Linked DNA regions of Kluyveromyces lactis. The protein of the gene in region 5 interacts with the protein of the main gene of each other region in a biochemical or structural test. Links are inferred from orthologs where the notes say so. Each region holds a gene or a part of one and is shown on either strand. Other genes may lie near its edges. The genes, in order: ORC2, PSF1, SLD5, PSF2, MCM3, MCM10 and CDC28.

Region 1 (3,721 bases), on a different chromosome or scaffold from region 5:
CCTCGAAATCATCAAAAGAAGAAAGGATATGCCTTACACTGAAGAAGAAAGACAATGGCAACAAATTAGACGTGGCAGATACGTTGAATTCAACCTAGTCCTTGACAGAGGTACTCAATTCGGTTTAAGAACTCCAGGATCCCGTGTCGAAAGTATTTTGATGTCTTTGCCTGTGACTGCTTCGTGGTTGTATGACCATCATCCTGAAGTAGACTCTAGAGAAGATAAATTACTCCAAGTATTGAAGAACCCTGTTGAATGGGTTTGAATGCCTTTATTTATGTAACGTCTCATGTATTTAATTCTTAGTTTCTAATGATCTTAATTTCTTACGCTTCAAAAACCAAGTCGGTCGTTAGTACCATACAGCGTTGCACGAAATGGTTCTGTCAGGCCGTCGACAATACTTTTATTTTGTCTTGTTCAATCTATTTGTAGATTTATACATTATATTACACTTTGATTCAGAAGAAGTTTCATCAAACCCTAACAACTTCCTTTTGCGAGCCTAATGAAAGCGTGATCTACCTTTCATCATTTGAAAGATTAAGCATGCGTTTTTAGCTGGGCGAGAGACAAATGGCAGCGATTAAAGCCGAACATTTATCTTCTTGTCAGTTTTTTGCTCTAAGCGATGTAATAACTGCTAAGAAGATCTATAATATTTTGTTTGATGCGTATCGAAATCAAAGTAAATTTCAAAAATACACAATCTCTAGTTCTCTCTCCATTTATGACCACAGTTAACACATTTGTAGAAAGTTGTCATAGGTTCATCTGCAGATCTGATTTGCAACTGGAAGAAGTAAGCTCTTTCACCCGCACATTGGTCATGGTTCGGACATTGTGCTGCTGTCTGGTCAACATTATCCCATGCACCTTCTCCACCTAAGACATCATCAACTTCTTTCCTAGGGAGGTTCTTTCTATCGTATACCTCTATCCCATCAATTAAAAACTGGTATGGGCATGATCCGCATGCTAGTTTATACAGACCTGAATCAGCTTTTGATACCAACAACATGTTATTGCATAATGGGCAAAACGAAAGCATCCTACAACTTAATTCTCAATGTCAGACTCCTCAAACACGATACGTTAACGCACCGTTACCTGCCCATAAGCTCCTTCAACACGTTATCGCATACACTCTAAAATGAACCTCATCGCTATAATTATTGAGAGTAGGTTTTAATTCTTTCCTCATCTCATATAGAAATTTTTCAGAAAAAAAAAAGTAGAGCTTCATGCCTTTAACTTTGAATCGATATTTATGTTGACATTTAAGGTTTGTATGTCAAATATAGTGTATAGGGTTAATACCTGTGGGCGAGGTTTGATAGAAGAACAACTCCCACATTTATAAGTTAGTTTCCATTCTCTAGACTTTAGAGTATTTGATTATCTTGGAGCGGTTAAACCTTGAAAACATGACGAAGAAAGAGTGCAGTGATAATGAGGAAGAAGAAGAAGACATTGATATTGTAAATCACCAAGACATTTTCATATCACCTTCCAAAGTAAGATATCAGTCACCGAAGAAACTTAAAAGTTTTGATTTTCTTTCGCCTTCCAAAACGGTACGACCTAAGTCACCCAAACGATCGCTCACATTAGAGTCTGTTAGCATTGAGACTGAATATAAAGATGAAGAGAGTAGGAAGCACTCATCGACAGATACTGCAACTCCCAGGCGAAGGCAAAGGAAAACAACCAAGAGGGTGAAGTTGGAGGAAGATGATGCCATTGACTATGTGTCAGATACTAATGAATTGATACACAATGACGACGAATACGAGGATCTAAAAATTAAAATAGATTCTAATGAAAGCTCACCTAATAAGTCGCCTAGGAGAAAACTTACATTTAATGCAGAACCATCACCCCAAAGAAAGACTACCAGAAATACAGTTCAAAGGAATAAAATTATAGACGATGATCTTGCATACGACGATATCCAGCAGTATAAGCATCTGAAATTGAACTTGAACCCTAATTTCAAACCGACTAAGTTGCCAAAGAGCGATAATAATGACCAAACATCTGATGAACAATCTCAAATATATTTTTTCGATGGTTTCGAAGGTTTCATAGATCAGACCAAGATCCTAAAAACTGATAAAAGATCCAAGAACTCGATGTCCTCGGCACCAAGTATTTCCAGAGATGAATATAACATTCTTTCTCAACTTTCCAATGATATATTCCATCGTTCATCGACAAAGGCAGTACAAAAAATACATGAAACACTCTTTCAGCAGTTTACTTTCGAGTTACTGCAGGGATTTACGTTATTATTCTATGGTATCGGATCGAAGAAGAAATTCCTCGAATCATTTGCATTCAACTTTCTTTCTATGAAGATCGCCTTGTTGCAAAACCCGGATATTCAAAAAGATGATCCATGTATACCGGTTTTTGTAATGAACGGGTACACCACTCTCTCTAAGAACATCTTTTTGGATATATTCAAAATCTTAGTAGAGGGCGAGACTATTGATGATCAAGGTCAATCAAATTATTGGGATAATCGAATTGACTTGCAAATGGACAGGCTTTCAAAATATTTCAAGAAAAGACCTCCTACGGTGAAGATGATTCTTTTGATACATAACTTGGACGGTCCGTCATTCCGGAGAGAACATTTTCAAACCAGAATGAGTATTCTTGCACAAATCAAACAAATCTGTGTCGTAGCAAGTGTCGACCATATACAAGCTCCTTTCCTTTGGGATCATTTCAGAGCTCAATCATTCAACTTTGTTTACCACGATATCACAAATTTTGAGCCGTACATCGTAGAAACAGTACAAACCGATAATGCTATCGACTTTTCCAAAGATTCAGGTACCTTGTTTAATGCGAACGGTGCTAAATACGTACTAGAATCCCTGACGGACAATTCTAAAAGAATGTACAAAATTCTTCTTCAACTTCTAATGGGACAGATTAATGCCAAGAACGAGTCAAAGCCTCGTGCAAAATCTAGTTCCTTAAACAAAATCACACCTGGGATTGAGTTCTCTGAACTTTTTAAAACATGCACCGAACAGTTCGTAGTCTCGAGCGAAATGGGTCTTCGAACCATCCTATCAGAGTTCATTGATCATAAGATGGCTGTCAATACGAAAAATAAAATGGGTAAAGAGATCATAAATGTTAAATATAGCTATGGAGACATGGAAAAAATGATAACTGAGATAGATTCCATGCTGCAATAAATAATCCTTATTTAAATTCACCATACATATTTATATTTATACTCTAGCGTTCTGATCTCATTTGGCTTTACCATACCGTCCACCAGGGTTCATTTCTTTTACATTTCCTATGCTGAATCAGTTCTGCTTCCGAAAATCACTGAAAAATAAGTTTTCGATAAAGATTACTATTTTAATGAACTTAAGGTTATATGGTTAAGAAGAAAAGGGAGAATTCGATAAAGAAGAGTATCGTATACACTAACAGCAAGTGTTGGAAGCACTGTTGGTAGTGGTATTTAATTCAGCAGTCCGCTAAATATTGTGATGAGCAAATCAGACACTATATCCAGACCGAATTCGGTGGCACATACTGCGGCGACCTCTGCTATGATTCCGAATTCGCATCTGTTGAGTCCCAACACTCAGGTTGTTGTTGGCACTCATAGGTGTGAAATTTTGGAGCATTTAGCTGAGGGTGGGTTCGCAAATATATACAAGGTAAAATTCTTGGAATTGAC
Region 2 (2,407 bases), on a different chromosome or scaffold from region 5:
TGAATACCGAAATGGTCATAAGAGGTGAAATAGTGTTGTTCATACTCGTTCAATTCTTTTTTCTGCGTAGCAGAATCAGTGACATCAGTCTTGGACATCCTTTATTTTATTAGCTTTACAATTAGGAAAGATATGCTCAACAATTAGACTAAAGATGAAACACAAGTCTTGGTATATGTATGGTGACAAATATTATATCCCAATAAGCTGTACACTATACTCAATGCAATCAAACCAATAACCGTTCTAACAAGTTGGTTCCAGATCAAGTACTGTTCTGTTACTTATGCCTCGTTGCCTTAAATACAAAACTGAAAAATTTTTGAAGGCGATGAGCTGCAAGAAAAAGAAATCCAAAAAGAAATCGTGCATTCCCCATAGTGAAAGTGAGGTAAAGCTAGTTAGTTGCATTTGGAACGGTTGCATCAGCAATATCACCAGCAATGATATCTACAGAATTGCAATGAAAGGTGCAGAATTCGGCGAAAAAAGCTGCCTTGCTATATCTTCTGCAGATATCCTTGTTGTATAAGTCTTTCGACGTCGGATTGTCTGACGAAAAATTGGGAATCTTTAATCAGGTTGAATACACCGTACTCTGTTTCTATTTGTCCTGCATCTTTCAATACTCGTACGTCGATGAACACATCGCTCGGCGGTTGTAACATCCCAGTCAAATCGATTTCTGAGAGTTCTCCCGATTTCAATTCGGTAAGTAGTTGTGCATACTCTTTGAGATACTCTTGTTCTGCATGTGATAAAACAGAGGAATCAAACGATGATAGATTCGGGTGGTTTGATATGGCAGAAGAAAATTCCATCCCGTTGTTATCCCAAACCATTGAGTCTAGCATCTCACTTCTCATCTTTTGGTATGCTAATAGACATCTTTTGTTTCTTTCCATCGAAAGCATAGCAACGACGTACTGGCATTGAGCGACTTTGTTATCCTGATCAGTAAGCTGCTGTTCTCGTAGGTAATCCACGTTCTTCTTGAGGGATCCAACCTCTTTCAGGATGCCACGGACTAGCTCGTCTTGATATACTGGTAATTGCTGTTTGTTGAATCCAGCTTGAGATAACTGTTGCGTTCTCTTTGCTTCTAGTATCAACTTGTTAGCGAGATCTCCGTACATTTTCGGTACTATGGCAATGATAATCAAAACCAATGACTTGAATCCAGTTCCAGGTCTTTTAGCACGTTCTTTTCCCTCTGTGTTATCTCTGTAAAAGTTGTTCATAGCTTTTCTCTTCTCTAGATTGAAATCGCTTTGAGGAAAACACGTAAAATTTAAGGACTTTAACGTGAAACGATACTGTTTAGACGCGAACAAATTACAACAAAGAAAACAAGGGGAAGCAAACCAACAAAGCCCATTGGGAGGTTCTGATAAATGAAGACGAGAGTTTATGGTCACTATGGGAAATTTCAAGCCTTGGCGAGGCGACATTTGAATAAAAAAGACAATGAGTTAAGCGATGAGGACAATTTCACTTCAACTGACGAGGAAGAAACAAGTTTATCAACAGATTTAGATAGAACTTATGAGACTTCTCCCATGGCTCCTGTCAGAGAAGAGTATGTGTCTTCCTCTCATAAATACGAGTCATTTGAAAACCGTGATTCAAAGACAATTGAAGCTGATCCATTCGATATTTTGGATGGTATGGGGTCGACATCTATGAAGAAGAAACGTAAAGTGACAAGGCTTCATAAACGAATAACAGTCGACAATGACGATATGAAAGATGTTGAAGAAGCTGTTGATAATGATTCTGAGATTCATGAGTTTCAAAGTACAATTGACAGTATCTCCTCGATGATTTCGTCATTGAAAGACTCCGACGATGTAATATCGACTTATAGCCAAATTCAATGTCTTAAAGTGGTCTCCACTTCAGCAGTGAGCCAGGTGAGATACGGAAGAACACGTACATTATTGAAAAAAGAGTTTCAAAGTGATGAAGAGCTACAAGAAGAAGCATCAAATGTCGATGAGGATGATGAAAATAATGAAGGTATTTTGGATGCTCAACATCACAATACTTCTTTTAATGATTCCAATTCCGTCATTCACGTTAATCAATTAAAAACACTCGGAGAAGGGCTTAAGTTCGAAGATGATCTGGATTTCTTACCATTCACTACTAGTGATGAAAAGTTATTTGTCGTAAAACTGATTAGCTGTTGTTTACTATTACTCAACAATACAGAGTTGACAAGTTATACTCAAAAGTATAAAAGCAATGAAGTATGGAACTGGTTTTTGCAGCAAATTAACCCTGAGAACAATGTCATGAGTTATTTACAACTTTGGATTGCTAATTTAGTACCACTGCCGCGAAGTGCCCCTCAATGGCAACAGTTATCACCTCTCCTAATGACTTGTTCCTCTCTTACAGAAAA
Region 3 (2,642 bases), on a different chromosome or scaffold from region 5:
AAGTCTAGATCATCACAACATGCCAAATCTAATATAAACCAGTCCTCTTCCAGTAACATAGATGCCAACTCGCAAAATATCGAGGAATTAGATTCTGTCGTTGAGATGAACTCGACTACAGGATTGAAAAGAATACATTCAGTGTCGTTATCTCAATCTCAACCGCAGACAACCAAAAGGGCTAAGCTTGCCCAAGCCCAGAAACCAGATATTGAAGGATTTCTCTGAGCTGATCATATGCTTGCCGGATGGGTTTTGCATACAGTAAATATGAAAAATAGGTACACTTTGAGTATGCTAGATAGACTTTTCAACGTTAATTGATGTAATACTAATACAAATTGGTTCAAAAGCACTATAGACCAGCAGTCAATAACACTAGGTAGAAAACATGCTGTGTTCGCAATAACATTGTTGAGAAATTATTGCTGGCAAACATTCGTTACAAACCTATATTTTTCGAAGAGTCATAGGTTCAGTAATACTGTTCAGAATTTTCATTATATTAAAACTACTCGTCCCTCAGTCATGAGATCTCGTATTACACTATAACGTATTACGTATACTGCCCCGATTAATAAGTAAATTTCTTCATTTAAATCTTCAATAATCACTGAGTAACAGTGTTTTCCATCATCATCGGTCGTTAATTTCGAATCAATACCACTTTCGTCAACTACCCCACCACAAACTAGTATAAATACAGTTTTATTCCAATCGGGTTCATCAATCATACTGATGGAACCCTCAGTATCGTTAACGGCTTGCAGTTCTTCTGGTAAGTGCTTAAGTACTGCGTTGTTAAACAGTTTTAGTAATATGTCAGAATGCTTCATATGGTACTTCACCTCTTCTTTGGACATCAATAAATCTAGTCTGCTGAGGCCCGCATTATTGGGTAGTTCGGATTGTTGTCTTAGGTAAATGCTGTATTTGTCAATTTTGCTTAACCGGCATCTGATGAAAGATCGAACTAGGAACTTCAATCTCTCAAGTTCTGCTTCCATGCATAAAAGTGGTAGCTTTGAATCGACAGTTAACTCTTGATTATCTTCTAAGTATCCCATTGATAGTGTTTCTATTAGTTCAATTCTTTCTTGAATCCTTATTAATGTCCTAGTCATGAGATGATGTGGATATGGAAGCAGCTCCGGACTCATACGTTCATTCTTCCAATGTGTAATTAGCTTTTGATAGTCGTCAATTTTGTTAAACTGTGTGGGAGCCACAGGGTCAACCGCCTTATCTGCTGGTCTTATCTGAGAGACATCATTGCCTTGAGTTCGATCGCTTTGGTCTGGGTATGAAGAAGCATTTTGTTCAACAGCTGTAGTGTCCCTATCCAGCTCAGCTAGAATGTCGTCAATATCAATGCTCATTGTACTAAAGAAATATGATCCTACCACCAGGACTCAAAGCGGAGGAAGTGTTCGGATAGTACACCGGGGTGGCTTTTATAATTGCTGTAAAGGTGTATTCAGACAAGAAGGACTTACTTGCAATGTGTTATCCTCCAACCTATTGTGAAATTCATCCAACTTACTGTAACATCGTATTTTTGATAATACTCAAATCTTATTTATCATCTTTTGTTTACGCTTAACAAATCCATACATGAAGCAAGATAAAACGCGTCAGTGAAGAAGCGCTCATCAGCAACACCAACCTCAGGGGGAATATACCCAGAAATATGGACAAGAATGAGCGCTTACAGTTGATGAAGCAGAAAATAGAGGCTCTTCAGCTGCAAAGGAAAAAAATTGATTCGAAACATGAAGAGATAGCAGATTGTACCCTTCCGTTCATTTCCCATATCACCAATTCCATAAATAACAACGAATCTGAAGTCAAGAAAGAAGTAAAAACTGTTGAGATCTCAGTGCAAACAGATGATGTAAATGAGTTTGAATTGAGCGCTGTTAAGGAGGCTGTGATAACATATGATATCGGAATACAGACAGATGAATATGACGGGAAACATGAAATTATGGAAGATGGACATCTACCTTCCCAAGATCTTATAGAACAGCAAGCATCGACTTCAGATATTACAGAGACCAAGGAGGATAAAGAAGTTGTTGAAAAGGATGTGTTTGATTTCGGAAATGTCGTTTCAGCGGAAGACTACGCAACGTTGAAGAAAGAAACATTTTCACTACAGGAGACTATAGAAGCGGCTGCGCTCAAGTCATCTTCTCATCAAATCGCTGGTGATGGGAAAATAAGCATGTATTTATCAATTTCACCAAAAGTTGCCATTGATTCAACTTCTGAAGCAAGGGTCATTTCCAGTGACGTCTTAGATAATTTACTGGTTACTGTGATTCATCTTGTAACCAAATACGTGAAAAGCTCTTTAGTTCAAATCACACACGTCTCTTCTGGTGAGGTACTTGATACAGTTTTATTCCAAGGTCAGAATGTTGTACGGAGCAAGTTTATTGATAATCCTAATTCTAAGATTACCTCCGTCGTTCTTTCTTGCTATACAGGAAAACTCATCTTATATGAACTGCGAACAGTCAAAATAAATAATAGCTTTCAGGTGGAAAGAAATATTGTTTCCACTAATTATCATCACTATCCGGTACTTTCAATTATAATTCCAAAATTCAATGACCATAGCATCCTGGCGGCCAGCA
Region 4 (2,268 bases), on a different chromosome or scaffold from region 5:
TGCTCAATTTCTACTGTTATTGTTTTCTATCTACGGTAAATTCTTTTCCCAACGTAATATTGAAGAAACGTGATTCGTTTCCGTGTTTGTGTTCCCCCCTTGTGTCGTTTTCTGTAAGTTATACCCGTAGTTCAATGCAAGGAACCGAAATAGCCTGAAGAACAACAAATATGATGAAGCAAGAACGTGGGGTGCACACGCAAGGCATGCCCGCGAGGCATGTTTGCGACACAAACGTAAATAAGAACTAAGCAGTGCGTGAATGTTCGGGATGGATCAGTTGTTTCGAATTACTACAAACTGTGAAGCGGGTACATGTAGGGTATGTAATATATGTGTTATTTGATAGGCCTGTACTTACATGGTAACCCGACCTTTTCTAGTGATTATGGTCAACTGTGTTATCATATAACCATGTAGGTTGGATTAAGGGGAGGGACTGGTGGAAACCTCGTGAATGGAATTTTGGATTCAATGGGAAAAGGTTATTATATTATTGATCACGTGGTGTCATTACTGGAGTCATGAATTGTCCTCAGTTTGTCCATGATACCACACGCATAGGGTCTCATCTCATTGATTTCCATCAAGGACAAGTTCTCTAGCTGTAAATGCGATTCGTTCAGGTACTGCAAACCCTTGTTGACTTTTCCCAAACGAACTTCTCGCAGATCTTGGACCTTAGATCTCAGTAGATGAACTGGATCCTGAAAATCATCGCTGCATCTGGCAAACAGCAGTGACGATACCACTAGCCAATTCCAGGGTAGATTGGAGAATCGTGATGGGTTTTTCAATTCAAAATCTAAATACTTCTCCAGCTGTTGTAACGTCAGCCAACTGGGTACCACGACGTTACACTTTCCCTGTTGTTTTAACAGTAAAGCCAGCCATAACGTGACTTCGCAACTATTCATTGCAACCATGTTATTTACCGTAGAATCATCGCATGTGATCAGTGACCATTGGGCGCCAGGATCCTTCGCGAGCTGTTTTTTGGTCTTCCTCGTAGTGATTCTGGGCATAATTCGTGTCGGTTCATTTTCAATTAAAAACTGTATCTCTTGGGGAGAAAATCCTATTGATAGATCTCTCGGTAGTGCCATCTCTATTTCAGGTTGGAGTTGCTAATCTATAGTGTCCTCAAGCTCACTACTTCCTTACATAGTGCTTTCAATGCGCGACTATGACCAATCGATATCTGTGCTTCAATTATTTTTCCATGTTCAATCTTGACATTGAAATCCAGCACAGGAAAAACAAAAACAGGAAAGACTAACTAAAGCTTTAAACTGGCAGTTTTCTCTGATGACTTGACTCATTGATAAAACTAGAATAAATGATGGTTTTATACACTTTCCATATTTGCAGATAAATGGTTTGATCTCATCATATAACGTCCAAAGGCACATTTTGTGGGCTAGTGCTATGATCAAAACATGGATTAGGTGTTTGACCACAGAGGTCAGATACCATCAACCTAATGCTCATGGCAGGAGTTTGGTTATGAGCGTTTTGAATTCTACAGTGACTAAAAGGGAAGCGAAAGACTATTTGAACAAATATACCGATGAGAATAATCATCACTACTGTCTTGTATTTTTGAGACATTTGTCCGAATATTCAGATAACGTACTTAGTGGGTTTAGCAAGACTGTGTCAAGAATTCAAACACTCGGACTAAGACCAATTTTAATAGTAGACCCGCTATGCCAAGACATATCATACCAAAGTCAGCGTTTGGACAATCATTTGCATGATCAGAGTCTGAAGTCAATAATCGTATTAGATCCCATTACCATCGGTGAACGTGGCTCAATTGACGTAAAACTTCCGATTTTGAACCCGCATATTATTCCGATTATTGAGCCATATCAGTACCATGAGAAGGAAGCTTTTAAGAAATTGGCTGGCGATCCATCTCGATTCTTATCATCTCTAGTGAGTAACTTGCCCATAAATATCGACAAGGTGTTCCTTATCAGCAAGTATGGTGGATTGCCGTCTGTGGAAAGACATACAAACAGCCATGTCTTTGTAAATTTGTCACAAGAATATCGAGAATTGAGAAACAGTTATCAAAATCAATTGGAGAAACTAGAATCTATTCAAGTGGATAATACTGAGAAGAATTTGGTAGAATCTCTACAATTATTTTTGAATCAGGATAAGATTCTTAGTAACAGCGATCAACTGAAATGTCATATGGAAGACCTTGAAATCATGAATAAAACGCTATCAGTTCTACCACATTCGTCTACTGGGCTA
Region 5 (4,071 bases):
AAGATTATACTCTCCATACTTTGCCATCCGCGACCATTAAATTGTTTCTATCGCTCATAATCCTTAGACCAGCAACGTATTCATCAACAGTGAATTTTTCCTCTTCTGGAACTTGCTCGTTAATTCTTTCGAAAAGTGCGGCGACAGGATACGATTCTTCCTCGAAAATGTCTGATTGCATGAGTCTTGCAACAATACCTGAGAGTGACGATAACCTACCGGTTGAGATTGAACCCTGGTCCATCTCTTCGATGGACATAAAATCAAGGGTCATATGAGACGGTTCCAATTGAGAGCCAGTTTCAAGGGGTCCAGTTGAGGATTGCGAGGAGTGGTGGAGAACCTGTTGTTGATGGTCGCTTTGTGAAAGTACTCTTCTTTCGACTGATAGTTGGCGTCTCGGACTCACTCTCAAGTTTTGTTCTAGTCTTCTTTGAAGGTCTTCCTCTTGTTCTGGTGCTAACCGTACCATCGTAGATTCCAGACCGTCAGCAGGATCCGGTTGAGTCTCTGCCATTTCCTGGTCCTCTTCTGCATCCTCTGAGTCAACTTCTTTGTAAACGGCCCCTCTCTTCTTCCTTGGAGAAGCTCTTGGCTTCTTTCTTGGAGATTTTTCGGTTGTTCTGCCTTCGGCAAATTCCTGTTCGTCGAAGTTGGCTCCGTCCTCACCTAGTAATGCAAATCTTAGTAATTGTGTTGCTACCTTTGCATCTTCTAGTTCTACTTTCTTTGAAAGCCTTACCTTGGCATGAGCACTGGATAATCTGATTAAAGTTTCTAGAGTTCTTGCCGTGATAGGGGATTTCTTGGTGTTCTGATCGTTTCTTAGATTTGAATATGATTTGATGATAACGTCTACAGCTTCTTGAGTCAATTGAGGAATAATTCTCTCTTTTGCATACTGAATGTATTTTCTGATGAAGGGTATCGCAACAATTTGAGGAAGCTCGCTACCATTGCTATCACCTCTGTTCTTTGCAAGCTTCGCACCGGCGTGTAGAAGTGGATTGAATTTTTCGAAAACTACGTCCTCATCATCATCTTCTTCCTCGTTTTCGATATCTTCACCAACAGCCAATGATAGATTTATTTGCTCTCTAACAGGTTCACCTTCCAAATATCCAGGAGGTAAGTACCTATGTGTTCTCAAGACATGTTCACTGATAGCTCTATCTCTGATGTCGTTGATATCATCCGTAACCACAAATAGTAAATCGAAACGAGATAATAGAGAATCCGGTAGGGCAATATTTTTATGTGGATCTTTGTTAACGTCATATTGACCGAAAACAGGGTTTGCAGCTGCGATAACTGAACAACGAGCATTCAATGTTGTATGTATACCAGCCTTTGCGATTGTTACTGTTTGTTGTTCCATAACTTCATGGATAGCAACTCTATCTACGTCGGACATCTTGTCAAACTCATCGATACAAACGATACCACGATCTGCCAACACCATCGCACCTGCTTCTAATCTTCTTTCACCAGTTTCTTTATCAGTAGTGACGGCTGCTGTCAAACCGACACCAGAGGAACCTCTACCCGTAGTGGCAATAGCTAATGCTGCTGTGTTCAACACAAATCTAAGCATTTGAGATTTAGCGGTGGATGGATCACCAACCATAAGGATATTTATGTCACCTCTTAGATGTGAACCGTTGGGTAAATTTTTTTCCACACCACCCATAAGCATTAATAGGATGGCTTTCTTAATGTGTTCATGGCCATAGATGGATGGTGCTAACGACTGGGACAAAGTGTCGAAAATATTATCATGCATTGATAGCTTATTGATATTTCTAATATCATTATCTGATAGCGTTTCAACGGCGGACACACCTGTAGACCTGGCATGTAGAGGGTACACTGTGTTACCAATTACAACAGTTCTGAAACCAGATAAAGCACCGTTACCCTTGTCGTTGTTATTAGAACCACCTGTTAGACCACCTGCACCTAATGACTTGTATACACCAACAATATTAATTCTATCACCTGGTTTTGTCTTATCCACTAAGTCATCATCCAAGATAACGTCAATGGATCTTGGTAATTGACCAGGAGGGGCCTTTTCGGGCATTTCTTGAACGGTGATTCGCTGGTGATCCATGTAATGACAAAATCCATACTCTGTGACCAGCTTATTACCTTCTTGATCCTCCTCTGGATAAATAGCTGGTGTTGGTACGGATGTGGTTAATGTTGTAGTCGCATCACGATAATCACGGTAATGATGATGGCCTGTGGTTTGGGCATAATGCACGGATCTGAGAAGTTTTGGCCTCACAAGTGAGGTTCTCGTTACAATCCCCTCTACTGAGATCAATTTATTCAAATGTGTTGAGTTTAAGGTACGTGGTGATAAAGAATTCGGACCGAAAGAACCCTTGAATGACAGTCTCCATTGTCTGCTGGGATCATTTTGGAATCCGCGAAACCCGAGAGGGCTATCATCTAAGGCCATTGCAGTCTCCGAAACAGCACGCTCCGCTGGTGGTAAAAAGAACGAGGGTACTTGTAAAAGTCCAGTCCAAAATGTTTTGTCAAATTCTCTTAAATCGTCAAGTGATACTGTTATTCTCAATGGCAATTGATTAGTGTCATGGTCCATCGTATCTTTGTCTGCAGTATTTAAATAATCATCATCCGTCTTTTTCTCTTTCACTACGTTGCTGTTAAACTCGAGTATTGATCTTATTTCTCGAGTATAATGCGAATGGGTATCCAAAAACTCTTGAAACCTTCGCATTCTGTCTGTAAAGACAGCATCACTTGTTTGATTCATAGCATCACTCATGATTGAATTCGGTACTTATGGTGTTTTTCAGTAGCAAAGTCCTTTAAACAGGGAGCGATAAATGCAATAATATTATTAAAATGAAGGTGCTAAAAATTAATGTTTCATTGGCACCAGTGCTGTTCTGGGATAGAAACGTTCTTGATATGGTTCTTCTAGTTTATTTTTGTCAGAATCGAGTTTCAGCTGTATTTTACCAACAGAATACGGCAAAGAGAAATGAGATTTGATGTTTTCGTCAATATCTTTTCCGTTTTTGGAAAAGAAAGAGGAATAATTTTCCGGGTAATGAGAAATGGCAACGCGTCAAAAAATAAAGGAAGAAGGGGTTAAAAATAACGACAACAGCAGGACTCGAACCTGCGCGGGCAGAGCCCAAAAGATTTCTAATCTTTCGCCTTAACCGCTCGGCCATGTTGCCATGTTATATGATAAAATGATGTTAGGTTCATATCACATGATCCAGAAGATGTCACTCATTATATTGTGAATTGGTAAATAATAAATACTATACCGCGCTTCACAGTGCAAGAAGAAACTACAGACCCTTGCCAACGTTCTGAACCTAGTATGGACATTAGATGGTATTAAAGAAAGTAATCTAACGAAATCATATTTGCCTACAATTGAGCTTTTGATATTGAAAGTTATCGACGATGAGCCAAAATTTGAAAAAATAAAACAAGGATGGTTTCCCAACCGTTTAGTAACTGGCAGTCTGCAAGTGCGGAAGAGTACACACACCCCATATTAACAGGGTTCAATGACAATGTAAAACGACAAACGGAAGCGTTAAAGAAGATTTAAATATATAAGAAATAGAATTAAGGATATAATGATATTTAATTGAGTGAAAAAAAAAATTACTGGAATAGAGAGAAAAAAGCTGATTTAAAAGGAGAAAGTGATAAAGAATAACGTATCTGATAGTATTTCCATCAATGACGCTTGACAAGGAAAGGAGCGATTGAGTGTTTTCCAGAAAAGAAAAAACAGTTTCTTGTTCTCCAACCAACAATTATAACTCAAAATCCATCCCATTGCTGAAAACCCACGTAAAACACCCAGAATATCATATAAGTTAATATATATAATTGGATGCTTAACAGTAGACGAAAAAAAATGGGGAATTAGATAGCGTACTAAAGAACACCGGGAGTAGCAACCAAAACCGTTCCAGGAAGGAAAACGACTTTTGTGGAAACACAGAAAGATGGACAAGTGAAAACATGCAAGGATAAAAAAGGAATCATATTTCAAGTCTTTTTCAT
Region 6 (3,698 bases), on a different chromosome or scaffold from region 5:
TCAAGTGGAGGCCGATTTAGGAAAATGTAAGACCGCTTGCAAAGAGTTAGAAGAAAGATTACAAGTGGTAACGCAAGAAGCAGAAACAAAGGAACAGACTTTTAACTCTCAATTATCTAAATTGCAGGAAGATCTACATTCTATTCAGGTTCAAATGGAAAATGCTTCCAAGACCGAACAGAATAATGCAGATTCAGATGAAAAAATAAAATCGTTGACTGAGACTGTGGAAATGTTAAATAGTAAAATACAGGAGCTTGAAGCCGAAGCCTCCAACGCTCAAAAAATAGTAGCTGAACATCATACGCCAGTTATCAACGAAGACACGAAGTCAATAGTGGATAATTTGAAAACAGAATTTGAAGCTGAAAAAGAACAATTAATAAAAGATAAAGAAAAAGAATTGAGGAGCAAGTTTGAGGCAGAAAAAGAATCTGCTTGGAATTCCAGAGAGGAAGAGCTCCGGAAACAGTTTGAAGAAAGAGAAAAGAGAATTCGTGAAGAGTGCGAAAAGACTACTGTCCAGTCTCCTTCGCAGCCTACCTTGGATATAGACATCGATGCTTTGAAGAATGAATGGGAAAAAGAATATGAGAAGCAGACTCTGGAAAAAATTAAATTAGCAGAAGAAGCCCTCAAGAAACGGATCAGGTTACCTACTCAACAAAAGATTGATAAAATAGTTGAGGCAAGAAAAGCTGTTTTAGAAGAGTCCTTTGAAGAAAAGGTAAACGAAAAGGCCCAAAAATTGGCAGGAGAGATCGGAAATGATGCCATTACTCTAGAAAAGCATCGTGCAGAATTGAATGCACTTAAGGATTCCATGCGTAAGCAATTTGAAGCAGATTTGGCAGAAATAAAACAAAAATCTTTCGAAGAAGGGAAACAGCAAGTTTCCTTGAAATTGAAATTTTTGGAAAGCAAGATCAGGAATTTAGAACAACAAAAGTCCACAATTAAACCTGTAGAGAATGACACTTCTAATATGAGTGCAGCATTCCAGGCCCCTGTATTTGGCTCTCATTCAACATTCACTAGTCCCTTCTCAACGTCAGAAATTTCTCCTAATAAGAGACCCATAGACGACACCGCAACAGAACAGCCTGAGAAACGTCACAAAGAGCCTGAAAGTGATACTGAGGATGGTCAGGAAGCCTGATTCTCCAGACGATTTTATGGCTGTTAATATTACCGAAGTTCTATTTAATTTTTTTCTATTATGTATCATTATTTGACCATTCGTTTTCAACATGTAAAAAATACTAGTATTACTTTCCACAGATATTCAAACGAGAAAACAAAATAATGACATCCCACAAGTAAAGAATGAACGAGAATAGTTACAGAAGCTATCGAGTATAGGTAACAGTGAAGATGCATCATGTCATATGATCTAACTGACCCGAGAGAAATTACGGCGTTCGACCCGTACGAGGAATTATCTGATGATGAATCTGAAATCGAAAGAGGTATGTTCTAATAATAATGGTTACCGAGATCAATGACATTAGAATATCCTACTAACATATTATAACCAATCATTAAATCAAAGTGAAACGAAGAATTGTTGAAATTGACACTGAGAAACGAGATTTAACTAACCGGCTGTTGGAACTAGAGAAGAAGAGAAACCTCAAAGACCCTAATTTCGATTCTATCGACGTTCCAGAGTCTCCTAAGAAATCAGATAATGCTACAAAAGGAATAGAGGATATCAAACATATTGCGCCAGTAGCAGATATAGAGGAAGCTACATTTAATGTTAATGAGGATTATGTAAGGGAAAAGGTCAAAAAGTTGGGTACCACTTCTTACTTTACTGAAAAACTTCGCTCCATCAATACAAATGAACATGAAGCGATTAAAAGGAAGAAAGAATTATTGGCACATCGAGTTTACACATTCAATGGCGACATGTTCGATGAATATGAACCAATTACTGTTGATGAAAAAGATGATTTGAGTGGTCTGGTTATAGACAGAAGGTATGTACCGTTGGCCGTACTTAGGAAACATACTAAAAACATAAAAGTGCTTCGACTTCCAAAGCTCTTCAGTAAGGTGAGAGCCCCTAAGTTCTCTGAACCTGATTATCCCAATTGGTTGGTATTGGGTATCATCTCAAAGAAAACTGAACCAAGAATGACAAATTCTGTGAAACCGGTGAAATTCTTCAGCCTAACCATAAGTGATTTCCAATTTGAACTGAATGTTATTTTCTTTGGGAAAAGTATAGTTGAAAAGTATTACAAACTAAGATTAGGTGATTTGATTGCTATACTTAACCCTGAAATAATGCCTTCCAAGAAACTGGAAGCGGGAGCAAGCCCTAGTTACGCTACATTTTCGTTAAAAGTTAGTAAAGACACCAATAATATACTGGAACTAGGTCACAGTAAGGAATTCGGATTGTGCCAATTTTACATGAAGAACAAAGGCAAGCTATGTGGTGCGCCAATAAACAAATTGCATGATAACTACTGTGCATATCATAAAGAGGCAAAAATGAGGCAAAACAGTTCTAGAAGAGTTGAAATTAGTAGCTCTGTGGCAATGAGAGCGCCAGTTGTCAAAGGATATCAACAGACTATTGTAAAATCACAACACAATAATGGTAAAACATCCATAAGATATCAACAAAATCCTGATAAACCGTTTGTACGAGAACCGGCAGCTGCAGAGACCAACAGATTCCTCTTCAGTTCTGCAAATGCCTCTACCGCGTTTTTCGATGACGACTACGAAAATCCTGACATACTGGCCAACCTTGATAACAAAAGACGCAAAATTCAAGAACTCAGAAACAATCGAAACTTGGAGAAAAAGTTAAAGGGTCTATCCGACAAATTGTTGTCAAAGAAGGAAGACCGAGTCAATCAAGAAGCAAAAAAGACTGCGACGTTGAGCATGTTCCAACATGGTTTAGCGAACCAAATTGGTTATGACCCAACAAAAGGGAAAGCGTCTTTAGAGATGCTTGAATATTCTACAGAGAATAAGGCGCCAAAGAATGATAAACAGCTGGCGATAACGGATATTTGCAATATAAAGAAAGATAATGTTAGCCTGAAACCTTCGAAGAAACAATTGAAAGAGAAAATTGAAAAGAGAAACGCTATCTTCAATGAAATAATGAAAGGCAGCCAAGAGCGGCTCGATAAAGATGAAGGCTCAAGTGATGATTTGGAAATTATATAGACAATAATGTAAGGTTTAATATATTATAAAGAATGTAGTACTTTTAATGATGGCTCCGTACAAGTCTCAATTCTTATCGTGGATGGTGGAGTATTCTTTCCCTCTAACTCTAGTAAGTTAAGAAGTTGCCCATCACAGCAAACTTCAAAGTTGCTCTTTTGTGACGGATCGTCTAGTACTTCGACGTTAAAACAAAATGGCAGTGGTCTGTAAAACGTTCCATTCTGTAAGATGTTTGAATGCTTCGTATTTGAATAACCCATAAATACCCTTTTCTGGAATTCTACTCTATCCAGAGAAGACTGGTATGCCAATACATGTAGTTGTGATTCCAATGGATCAGAATCGGGAGATGGCATATAAGTTGGCTCCAGATTTGTGGTATTTATTAACGCAAAATAACTAAAAGATCCTTCCAGAATATCGGGAATAGAGACGCGAGATTCGAGCTTGTATTCTCTTAAAATTCGCTGGCTAGCAACTCTAAACCTTTCAATGCC
Region 7 (2,623 bases), on a different chromosome or scaffold from region 5:
GGGGGATGTGAATAGAGAGAGAGAAGGTATGGGTTGAGTTGAGAGACATTACGTCAATTGAGCTGTCTCTTACCAGGCCTCGTCTTTAATTTCTTCAGGGATTCGGTCGGAATAATGGACAGACATATTAGCGATAGAGAGGGGATGTCGAGGATAGGTGACTAGGTAGATTTGCGTTCAGCCAAACTAGCAATGGCGTAACGTTAACGAAGAGCCCCAGGCCTAGGGGAGGGGGGCGGGTTTCAATTTGCTTCGGTTTTTCTTGCTCTTAGTTCTTTCTTTTTGGGCGCATTGCTGTGGCACAGGCAAGGAAATCAAGGCCCGTTTTTTTTTTGTTTTTGTGGTATGTTTGCAGCATCTCTCGAAGGGCTGTTGGATGGGACAAAAAGAAATGGAATGTGGAGTTCCGGGTAATATAAGTCACGTGAATACACGTGACTGGTATTGTTTTTATTATATATCATATACATGAATATACGCGCCTCCTGTCACCAACACTCTCACTCCTCCTTGAAGTACGGGTGTTGTACTGCTCTTTTGGCGCTAATGCGGTGGATTGGATCGTAGGTGATCAATTTGTCCAAGAGATCGATACCGTTTGCATCTAGCGATGGAATTACCTCGGATAAATTACGACGGTTCCATTTAGGGAATGTAGTCTTGAAATCCGGTAGATAAATAATATCCGGCCATGTTCTCTCGTTTGGTGTGCCTAACACTCGGAATATCTTGAAGATCTGATCAATTTCACTGTCTCCGCTGAATAACGGTTTCCTGTTGCACATCTCGGCAAATATACAGCCAATGGACCATACATCGACCCCTGTACTGTACTGTTTCCCACCTAATAACACTTCTGGTGCCCTATACCATAAAGTGACGATCTCATGGGTGTACGCTCTCAAGGGGACACCGAATGCACGTGCAAGGCCGAAATCTCCCAACTTCAAGTTCCCATCTCTGTTGATCAATAGATTCTGCGGCTTCAAATCACGATGTATGATCCTATGAGCATGGCAATAAGCAATTCCCTTGCACAATTGCATCATAAACTTCTTTATAATGTTGCCTCCCAATGGCTGGTCCTTGGGGATCGATTCCATGTATCTTTTCAAATCAAGATCCAAAAATTCGAACACTAGATATAACTTGTGCGCGTCCGAGTGCACGATGTCATATAATCTGACAATGTTGTCATCCTTCAGTTCCTTCAATAATGAAATCTCACGTATCGCAGTACTGGGAACACCTTCGTCTTCAGATTCTAATCTGATCTTTTTCATTGCTACCACTCGATTCTGGTGACGCAAATCAACCGCTTTGTAAACAACACCATAAGTACCTTCTCCGACTTTCTCAAGTCTCTTGTAGTTTGTTAATTCGGACATCCTGGTATAGGGTGGATTTCTTGTATGATGCGACCTTGCTGTTCTGTTTCTTTACTACTTTCAAGTTTTAGGTAGGTACAGATTGTTCTCTTTTGCAGCAGTATATTCAGATCAAGTAAAATTTGCTGTGCTCGCGTATAAATATGCGTCAAATCAAATAATCAACTATCACTCAGTGCTTATGGCTCTAATATTACCCTGGTATGTGCCTTCTTTCTAACAGATTAACGTTGCCTTAATACTATATTAATATCTTCGAAATTGTGTTTGTATTTTCTTCGTTTTAAGGTCAGAAGGTCAATAATGAGCTTTACGTGTAATTGAAAAGAAAGAAAGGTTTGGAATTGTAAGATGAACGCAGGGATTTTGTAACGTATAGGGCATTGCTGAACGGTTTTTTCAGTATACTTTCATGTTACAGAATATTTAACACAGAAACTTACAAAATTTATACACTTCTACAGGTTCCAATAATTATGGTTTCTTTGTCAGGATATCGCACAATAATCAAACGTTACTACAACAAATCTATTTAAACCTGCTCCTTATATCAAAACAAACTAATATTTTGGAGACAACTCTTTTTATTGCTTCTTGGCTTGTCTTTCAGCCTTTTTCAAAGCTCTCTTTCTGATACTCAAGTGGAAGGAATAATTAATTGAATTAGCAATCTTAGAGTACACACCGACGGTGTTCTCGATAATGAAATGGTATAATGCATGAGACCAATACGGCGTGGAGGTTGCAAAACGCTCTTGGGCACCACAGCGTTTGCCAATGGAGTTCAATGTGGATCTCACGAAAGCCTTTGGAGAAGGGATCAATGCACTTGATCTTCTAATCTTAGACATTGCACTGGTAACTAAGTAAGATAACACTAACTCAACATCGATAGAATCGCTAGATAATTCACCAGCTAGGGCGTTAGACCAACTTTGTAAAAATGCCTTGGAACCACTGTATGTAGCTAAGAATGGGGTAGGTAGCAGACCACCAAAGGAACCCATTGTCAAGATTAGACCACGACATTTCAACGTCTTAACGCTTGCTTTTAATTGTGGTAACAAAGTTTGTGTGATCATTAATGTCGCAGTATTGTTGATAGTAATTATATCTCTCAATTCAGATTCTTCGGTTTGATCAAATGGTACTGGAATCGAATGAGACTTACCAACATTATTGATCAAAACAGTTACAGGTAAACCCGACGCAACTTCTCTAATTAAAGTATAGTT

The links.
Region 1: the proteins of MCM3 (region 5) and ORC2 form a complex in vitro, tested with the Saccharomyces cerevisiae proteins (2 studies listed by BioGRID). The link is inferred for Kluyveromyces lactis from reciprocal best matches to the Saccharomyces cerevisiae genes MCM3 and ORC2.
Region 2: the proteins of MCM3 (region 5) and PSF1 form a complex in vitro, tested with the Saccharomyces cerevisiae proteins (4 studies listed by BioGRID). The link is inferred for Kluyveromyces lactis from reciprocal best matches to the Saccharomyces cerevisiae genes MCM3 and PSF1.
Region 3: the proteins of MCM3 (region 5) and SLD5 form a complex in vitro, tested with the Saccharomyces cerevisiae proteins (3 studies listed by BioGRID). The link is inferred for Kluyveromyces lactis from reciprocal best matches to the Saccharomyces cerevisiae genes MCM3 and SLD5.
Region 4: the proteins of MCM3 (region 5) and PSF2 form a complex in vitro, tested with the Saccharomyces cerevisiae proteins (4 studies listed by BioGRID). The link is inferred for Kluyveromyces lactis from reciprocal best matches to the Saccharomyces cerevisiae genes MCM3 and PSF2.
Region 6: the proteins of MCM3 (region 5) and MCM10 form a complex in vitro, tested with the Saccharomyces cerevisiae proteins (2 studies listed by BioGRID). The link is inferred for Kluyveromyces lactis from reciprocal best matches to the Saccharomyces cerevisiae genes MCM3 and MCM10.
Region 7: of the proteins of MCM3 (region 5) and CDC28, one has a biochemical effect on the other in vitro, tested with the Saccharomyces cerevisiae proteins (3 studies listed by BioGRID). The link is inferred for Kluyveromyces lactis from reciprocal best matches to the Saccharomyces cerevisiae genes MCM3 and CDC28.

Annotation. Positions count from the first base shown.
Region 1 is NC_006042.1:1,707,604-1,711,324, forward strand, and holds ORC2 (origin recognition complex subunit 2), read left to right. Parts: upstream 1-1,430; coding exon 1,431-3,221; downstream 3,222-3,721. Other genes in the region: HEM13 (coproporphyrinogen oxidase), read left to right, coding at 1-268; DNA-directed RNA polymerase III core subunit RPC11, read right to left, coding at 716-1,054; serine/threonine protein kinase AKL1, read left to right, coding at 3,528-3,721. UniProt on the Saccharomyces cerevisiae protein: Component of the origin recognition complex (ORC) that binds origins of replication. It has a role in both chromosomal replication and mating type transcriptional silencing. Binds to the ARS consensus sequence (ACS) of origins of replication.
Region 2 is NC_006038.1:616,059-618,465, reverse strand, and holds PSF1 (DNA replication protein PSF1), read right to left. Parts: upstream 1,137-2,407; coding exon 501-1,136; downstream 1-500. Other genes in the region: protein-arginine omega-N methyltransferase HMT1, read right to left, coding at 1-98; RAD61 (Rad61p), read left to right, coding at 1,395-2,407. UniProt on the Saccharomyces cerevisiae protein: Required for DNA replication. Functions as part of the GINS complex which plays an essential role in the initiation of DNA replication by binding to DNA replication origins and facilitating the assembly of the DNA replication machinery.
Region 3 is NC_006042.1:1,023,715-1,026,356, reverse strand, and holds SLD5 (DNA replication protein SLD5), read right to left. Parts: upstream 1,380-2,642; coding exon 501-1,379; downstream 1-500. Other genes in the region: serine/threonine/tyrosine protein kinase RAD53, read left to right, coding at 1-228; PAC11 (dynein intermediate chain), read left to right, coding at 1,691-2,642. UniProt on the Saccharomyces cerevisiae protein: Required for DNA replication. Functions as part of the GINS complex which plays an essential role in the initiation of DNA replication by binding to DNA replication origins and facilitating the assembly of the DNA replication machinery.
Region 4 is NC_006040.1:558,098-560,365, forward strand, and holds PSF2 (DNA replication protein PSF2), read right to left. Parts: upstream 1,107-2,268; coding exon 501-1,106; downstream 1-500. Other genes in the region: ARG2 (acetyl-CoA:L-glutamate N-acetyltransferase), read left to right, coding at 1,429-2,268. UniProt on the Saccharomyces cerevisiae protein: Functions as part of the GINS complex which plays an essential role in the initiation of DNA replication by binding to DNA replication origins and facilitating the assembly of the DNA replication machinery.
Region 5 is NC_006041.1:1,980,004-1,984,074, reverse strand, and holds MCM3 (MCM DNA helicase complex subunit MCM3), read right to left. Parts: upstream 2,801-4,071; coding exon 5-2,800; downstream 1-4. UniProt on the Saccharomyces cerevisiae protein: Acts as a component of the MCM2-7 complex (MCM complex) which is the putative replicative helicase essential for 'once per cell cycle' DNA replication initiation and elongation in eukaryotic cells.
Region 6 is NC_006037.1:50,765-54,462, reverse strand, and holds MCM10 (Mcm10p), read left to right. Parts: upstream 1-1,381; coding exon 1,382-1,469; intron 1,470-1,552; coding exon 1,553-3,198; downstream 3,199-3,698. Other genes in the region: MLP2 (Mlp2p), read left to right, coding at 1-1,159; KLLA0_A00550g (uncharacterized protein), read right to left, coding at 3,222-3,698. UniProt on the Saccharomyces cerevisiae protein: Required for DNA synthesis. Required for entry into or completion of S phase. Involved in DNA replication and seems to participate in the activation of the pre-replication complex (pre-RC) and in transcription elongation.
Region 7 is NC_006038.1:854,827-857,449, forward strand, and holds CDC28 (cyclin-dependent serine/threonine-protein kinase CDC28), read right to left. Parts: upstream 1,389-2,623; coding exon 501-1,388; downstream 1-500. Other genes in the region: IFA38 (ketoreductase), read right to left, coding at 1,973-2,623. UniProt on the Saccharomyces cerevisiae protein: Cyclin-dependent kinase that acts as a master regulator of the mitotic and meiotic cell cycles. Required to drive the G1-S transition. More than 200 substrates have been identified. Substrate specificity is in part regulated by the bound cyclin protein.